Linked DNA regions of Coturnix japonica. The protein of the gene in region 2 purifies or fractionates together with the protein of the main gene of each other region. This does not show direct contact. Links are inferred from orthologs where the notes say so. Each region holds a gene or a part of one and is shown on either strand. Other genes may lie near its edges. The genes, in order: CILK1 and KIAA0556.

Evidence for each region.
Region 1: the proteins of KIAA0556 (region 2) and CILK1 purify together in Homo sapiens (affinity purification with mass spectrometry; 3 studies listed by BioGRID and IntAct, with this or other methods). This does not show direct contact. The link is inferred for Coturnix japonica from reciprocal best matches to the Homo sapiens genes KATNIP and CILK1.

The regions. Positions count from the first base shown.
Region 1 is NC_029518.1:80,674,980-80,678,800, reverse strand, and holds part of CILK1 (serine/threonine-protein kinase ICK), read right to left. Parts: intron 3,376-3,821; coding exon 3,262-3,375; intron 2,566-3,261; coding exon 2,411-2,565; 3' UTR 1-2,410.
Region 2 is NC_029529.1:10,587,677-10,591,497, forward strand, and holds part of KIAA0556 (protein KIAA0556 homolog), read right to left. Parts: intron 1,845-3,821; coding exon 1,695-1,844; intron 738-1,694; coding exon 574-737; intron 1-573. UniProt on the Homo sapiens protein: May influence the stability of microtubules (MT), possibly through interaction with the MT-severing katanin complex.

The DNA.
Region 1 (3,821 bases), on a different chromosome or scaffold from region 2:
TTAACAGAGAGAGATCTGGGCATCTCCAGGAAAGTCCTCAGGTCAGCTGCACATCTCGAGATGTGATTCTCACTCCTCCCTGCTTTGCAAGAAGCTCAGGCACATGTGGGTAGGTAGGATGAGCCCAAGCCTCAGCAGCGTGCTCTCATGACTTGTCTCCTTTCATTGGAACTGTATGTATGGAACAGACTACATAAACTGCCTATATAGGTCTAGGGATGCTTAGGATAGGTTCAGGCTATTTCCTCTTAAATCGATTATTCAGCAAAAAATAAAATAAATTAAATGCTATCTAGATATAAATACAGATATTTATTTCCACCAACATAAACAACCACCTTTACAGTTTCTAACACAAATATACATATTTCCCTTTCCACTTACCCAAACACAACATCAGCATGTGGCTTAGAATTGGAATGGTCATTGCTATGCATTAATATTGCTGCTATGGAAGCAGTTGTGTATAGTTTGCTGTTAGCACTTGTTCTTAACAAATGCCTGGCGTAGCTGGACATGGCAAGTCTTAGGCACATGCTTTCTTAATGCATAGACACTTCTGGTCCTTTTTGCCTTGTGGATTGAGTCAGTAAAAGCCAACAGTGACCAGAGCCCCTCTGGGTTCCCCATAGCACTGAGCCAGCAGCTTACTATGGGGAGGTGTTTCCTGAGTCCCGTGTGTCCTCATGGAACGAACCGAGAAGGCCGGGGTGTGTTACCAGCCTCCATCCCACAGCAGGTGCCCCTCACGGGGCATGCAGATCTCCCACTGAGGACATCACTGGCACACTTCTCTCCTTCTAAGCAGCCAGATGCCAAGAACCACAGCTGCTCCGATCCCTTCAGACACCTCATCACTACCAGACCAGCCCAATCCATTCATAAAATGAGTTTAGATGAGGTTTCCCCAAAGCTGAGCATTTCTGTACAGTTCTGTGGGACGATGTGTTTTCACAGCACGTTTCAGCTTTGAAGTTGCTCATCCAAAAATGCAGCTATAAAAGACGTTCTCCCACAGCACTGTAACCATCTCACCTACAGGACTCATCTTCTGTGGAAGGAGGTGAAGGAATAGCCAAACACTATGACCAAAATGAAGCATTTGCTGATAGCTGAACTCTGGTGCTGCTTTCCAGTGCAGAAACGACCTTCCTTTGCCTAGAACCCACTCATTCATTTTCTCCTTCAAACTGAATTGTTTTTAGCAGTCTGACGTAAGGCCTCATTCTCACCCAGTAGAGTCTGAGGGCCTAATTTACAGCAACTGATGTACTCTTCACATCACAAATGAAGACATATTGAAATGAAGAAGAATTGAAGCTTGAACATATCCAATTGCTCCAAATTTACTTTCCCCCCCCCCCAGAGTCATTAATACAGTTAAAAAAATTAAGTCAAATGCATAGATACTGTTTCCTTAAACTCTGCTGCTGGCATCTCGCTAATACTTTTAGCTTTGTAATTCTCAATACCGCCTTACATATGCATTTGGATCTTCTGTTCCCGACAACAGCAAAAACAGAACCTGATGTTTCTCCTTATCAGCCATTAGGAAACACTTAAGGAAATTTAAGAGAGGTAGGTCCACATTCTATTTCATAGAGAACAACACCAAGAGGTAACTTTGAAGCAGGACAAACAAGCAGTGTCAGGAAACCAATCTACTGATTATCCTTTACAAAACAAGATTACCCAGCTTTGGTAAAAGCAAAAGAAAGGAAAGCTGGACAGTGGACCAACAAGAGCCTTGTGAAATTCAAATAATAAATACAAGAAAGAAAAGCTTCCCACTGACTTGGGACTTCCAGCAGTCTCTCAGTGGCTGCAGAGGAGACGTTAGGCTGTTGCTCACTCATTCCTTTGGTGTCCAAAGCAAACGAGTGCACAACAGCAGCAGTGTGGCATCAAGACGCGGCATCGCCACAATTGAACAGTCTCACTTAGCACATAAGCTTTAGAAAACATCGTAACGAATGCGCCTTTCCTCACTCTTCTCTTCCAACACAATATTGCACCACTTTGCTTTTTTTTTCCTAAAAACTCGTTTTTATAAAAAATGTTGAATCCAATGAAGGAAAAGTTACAGTTTAAAAAAGTTTGTTATAAAAATGTATCGTATCAAAATGCCAAGATCTTTAAAGCCATATATACAAAAGGTATCAGATCTATGAAAATAATTGGACACAATTATATAACAAAAGTTCATACAAAAAAAAAAAAAAAAGGTACAAGATTGCATTGAAATTAATACAAATGAAAGTTAAAAAACAAAAGCAAAGTGACCTTCAGAAAGGTCTCGACCGTAGAAGATTTGCTTCTCTTAAATTTACAAGTCTATAGAACAGTAGAAAACTGTCACGTGTCTGTCACCATTTGGGAAATAGGCGCTGCTGGGAGAGCACTGCAGGTGTCACCGCTGAGCTCGGTACTTCGCAGACCAGTCAATGCGGCCATGGATCGGCTGAGCTGGGGGTGGGAGCTGCGTTACCCCGGGGGTGCTTTTAGAAGGTGAATTGAATGGTGGCCGTCCAAGATGGGGTTTCGCTGACGTCAGAGGAGCATAATCTAAGGGAGGAAAGGAGACTCCAAGAGGTTAAGGTTAATCAAGTGGCTGTCCATGCTGAAAGACAACTGGATGCAGATGTAGATCTTCACTTCTTCGGGAAACAAGCATCCTTTTTTAATAGGATTTGTTGATGTGAAGCAACATGTGTGATCCAAACCTTAAAACCCTTAAAATCTTAAAACAAGAAGCACCTAGAGTGCACCTTAGAGTCGTGAGGCCCTGCAACAGGCTGCCCAGGGAGGTTGTGGATGCCCCGTCCTTGGAGGTGTTTAAGACCAGGTTGGACGGGACCCTGGGCAACCTGATCTAGTAAATGTGTATGTTTTGGTGGCCCTGCCAGGCAGGGGGGTTGGAACTACATGATCCTTGAGGTCCCTTCCAACCCGGGTCATTCTGTTATTCTGTGATCACCTACACCATGGATTGGTAAGTGTGAATTCTGTGCCAGGTCTCGCATCAGACTCTATGTTCCATTCCAATGTCCTTATTGGTTAACAGCTGTGGTTAAAACACATAGTTCATAAACTAAATAAAACTAACTCTTTTATATACAAAGTTCTGCAAGGCTCCGAGCAGTAGTTCCAGTCACTCAAATAACTACAAATAAAGCACGGATCTATAACATAATGCTGCATATACACAGAATAACCAAAGTAACGAGCAAGGGACCAAGATGATGATGGTACCACGCTTACTTGAAGATGGATCTGCAATTGGTGCTAACTGAACTCTCTGCCCAGCACAGCCTGCTTCCTTCTTCATAAATGAAGGGATATAACCACCAGTTAGACCATTTGATCCTATAGGACCTGAAAGAAAATGCAAGGAACAGCTGTGGTCAGTGCAGTACATCTCCTGCACAGGTAACAAAGGTGCAAAGTGATGGGCCGCACTTGAGATGAAAGCTGATCAGGGACTGATAGAAACAAGAATTTTTCCAAAGATACCTGAAGTCCATGGATCCTCTGTATGCCTCTGTTTATTCCAATAAACTGGAATAGACTCATGTACCAAACCTGGCAACTCACTACCAAACTTGTCTCTACCATAAGAGAGAACAGCTTTGACTGACCTTTTGGATAACCTTTGTCCCTTTTGAAAGAAAACAGTTTTAAATAAAATCATCTAGTCATAATACAGCCGTACGCTAAAGAAGTCAGCATGGACAGACTGAGAGCACACATTCCTGTAACACTACAGAGCAGCAGAGCAGTGGAAAACACACTGTGGGAAATGATGGCAATGAGAAGGGGAA
Region 2 (3,821 bases):
CTGTTTGCATCCCACCTTCTAAGCACATCTGCACAAATCCGATTTTTAACTTAAAAGGGAACAATGGCCTGACCTGAAGGGAGTAGACTTTTTTAATTTCCTTGTTTATAAAGTTTTTAATTGCTTTTAAATGTGCTTATTGGAGATAAAAGATATACACACACTGCACATGCTGAGCATGTATTATTAACAAGAAACTGTGCTCGTATTAACAAATATAGTAAGATGGTAGGAAATATTGGCAAGGAAATCACATATCTTGTTTAGGAAGCTTTCAGAATGAAAATGGCTCAAATGGGCCTACAGCTGAGCACTTGACTGTGTAGACATATCACACGAGTGAGCTATCAGTTGCTCAGTGATCCCTGAAAGCAAGAGAAAGCTGTGGGGTGGTATCCAAGGAGCCAGATTTAAAAAACACCCACACCCTATGGAAGTAATACAAATCCAATTACAATTGAGATATCACTGTTTATTCTACAATTGTGTAAGAATTAACTATTATAATTCGTGTTCAAGGAAACCCTCTTTTCTCCTTATTGAAGAAACACTTGTTTTTCTTTCTTGCCATACCTTTTGAGGGCTTGTGGAAACTGACTGGCTTTGCAAATCTCTCTGCAAGGCTTCATTTTCAATTTGCATAGCTTTAACCACAGCTGAAACAGAGAGTTCAGAGTCCTTTTCACACTCATTCTTTCGAGCTGCTGAAAGTGGTCTTTCTGGTCGACTTAATGGTCCTGCCATGAAAAAGCACAAAGGAATAGCCATTTGTACAGACAAACAAGCATGGAATATTCAACAGCACACATCTGAAACATCCAATTCTGTTACTAGTACAGTGCTACACTAACTAAACAGTAACGAACTAAAGCAAGGTTAAACTGCTCCAATTTGTTTTTCCATCTACCCTAAATAACAGATGGAACTGCATCACAAAAGAAGCAAAACTGAAAAACGGCAAATGGGATTTTTATGCATTAAAAATGTAGTTGATTTTTTCAGACGTTTACTGGGAATGCTTTGCAACAGCTAATTGAAATAAAAGTACATATAATTTCAGCCCACCAACATTTTTCAATGTAACTGGAGTATTCAGCTATTCTGGGAAATCCCAAGATTCTTCTGGTAAAAATCAAGAGACTCAGACATTGATACTTGCAGCATAAGATAAATGACCTTATGAACTTGCACCCATCTTCCCAAACATGACAGAAAAACAGAAGCATCACAGCCTGGAAAAAAGTTTAAAGGAGAGGAGACTTAAAATCTAAAAGCATCAACTTTGGCCATGGGAAATTTCAGTTCCTTTCTTTCTACAGATGCATTGTGTTCAAAGCTTTCAACTAAGCATGAATTCCTGATCTTAAGACACACTTCTGCTAATGCTATAAAGAACAGAAATCCATCAGAGAAATGGAAAGGAGCAAATATAAGGACCAAAACGAGAGGAGGAAATCTTATGGTATAGAAGCAAAAAGAGAAGAAAGTTAACAAAGACACAGCACAGACTCAAGTGTGCAAGCTCTGGATTTTTTCCTCACAATCCTACTTAAGTCTGAATTCTTGAAGTGCTAAAAAAATAATAATAAAAGGTTAAAAAAAATATTATAATGACAGATGAAATTACACATGAATCAGATTGGAAAACAAAATCATTAACATCTTCTTTACTGACATATATTCATATTCCTTACTATGGCAAATTCTTTCCTGCCTGTCTGGCTGCAAGGACTCAGCAGAGAGCGGTCGATTGATTTTATTTTTTACCACAACTGGTCTGACAGGAATGTACATTTCAGCATTATCTTTTCTTTTGGCTGAAAGAACTCGCACTGGCTTCAATTCTGTAAGATAAGGAAACAGAAAAATCAACTTCAGAGATCATCAGAAGTAGCAAGACAGGAATTATTATTGTACCTTAAATGCTAACGTTTTGCCACTTTAATTATGCTGGCATAGGTAAAATGATAACCACCATCTTCCTTTCCTTTTACTGATGCAGTTCTATATTCTATTCATATGCATAGCCTCAACCAACTTAGCGATGAAATACATCACCATAAGGTAGGTCAGGTCATTAGACCAATGTATCTTAACAGGGGCAGGTATTTCCAAGCACTGCTGACCAGAAGAGCAAAAATAAGCAAGAAACCCTGAGTCACTCGTTAATGCAGTTGTGTCAAAATTATTCCTGAGGCATAGACTAAAAGGAAATGATCATTCAGTTCATAGAAGTACTTATCTGCTCTTACTTCTGGGGGTGAGGGGATAAGCCACGTACTCACGTTCTCACTGCCACCACATCCCTTACTCCCTTAATTACATGACAGATGAAGAAAGAAGCAGCTATAGTAAGCCTAACCTCACTATGATACAATGCCAGGGGAAAAGAAAAAGCTTAGCCTGATGTTGTTTCTCTGAGACAAGCCAAAGGAGTTTCAGAAGGAAAGCCAACCTGAGAAAAGGATGTCGGATAGCAGAAACGAAGAGAGATTACAGAGAAAATGAGTGAAGACAGGAGTTAGACACCAGCACAAGTTTTAGGTGGCATTGCTAAGGAGCTATTTTTCTGCTGCAGTAGAAAGCAAATATCTGTGCTAACAAGAACAAAGAACCATCAAGTGAAACAATCGGCGTTAACGAGGATGCAATAGAAGATATGAATTTCTGAGTGAGAAACTATGATTTTTAATCAGTGGAAAAGGTAGCTGAGAAGAACTGAAATACCATTGAGTAAAGCCAAACAGTACCCAGAAGTCATCCACAGAAGTGCTAGGTCTAGTGCTGTATAAGTTCAGGCTGGGTGACTGAGTCATTCACTGTGGTTTATGTGATTACACCAAAGCTGGACCTAAAGCCTGTCTACCACACAGTCAGCAGTGTTCTGCTTCTGCTTTCTGTATCAGAAGCAAGCACATTTATCTGTCAAAACCAGTTAAATCTCCCTGCATATTACTATCAATACAAAATAATACAGATACCAGTTGGATGGTGGTTATTTTTTCCCCATCTCAAACCTGAAAACTGAACACCTGGGGCCTATCAGAGGGGTTGAAACTTGTTACTAAATTCTTGAGGGAACAGCTAGCCCAGGAAGCTGGAGCCCCAGCTGAAAGCTGATGTAGCTGTCAACACTGAGAAGCTGTATGTGCCTACAACCTCAATTGTCTCCTAGCAAACAGCATAGCAAATCCCAGTGTACAGCTCCCTTGGGTATAACAGCATCCCTAATGGGTCAGAACAAATAACCAGCTATGGTAAGATCTTTTCTCTGACAGCAGTGAGCAGCAGAAGCACAGGGAAAATATGAAATATACAGCGTATTCTTCACGAGGCTGAAGTCTGCATTTAATTCAAACTAAAAATGAACTTGCTAGCTAGTACTTTGTAACATCTACTAATTAAGGCATTAATGTATTTGAACTTCTAAACATCCCATGGCAATAATTTTTTGTATTTATACATAAAGAAACCATAGGATGCCTATCCATGTATACAAACAATGTTGTACTCGTGAATTTAATTATATTCAGGCCTGACATAGACCCTGGGACTACAAGAAGGTTGTTTCTTGTAGCTTACTAAATTCCAAATGTACTTTAAGAAGAATTATTTCTATAAGGACATACAGTAAAAGGGCTGCCCTGGTCAGAAGTCTACCCAAAGGCAAAAACACAAACTTGGTTTGCTCTTTACCAAGGAAGGAGGTGATTAGAATGCACGATTATTAAAAAGAAGCAAGGACATTATCCAGGTATGACACCTTTCCAGCACATAACTGTGAACATTGGTATTGCAAATTATGGCTCAGATTTGTACTG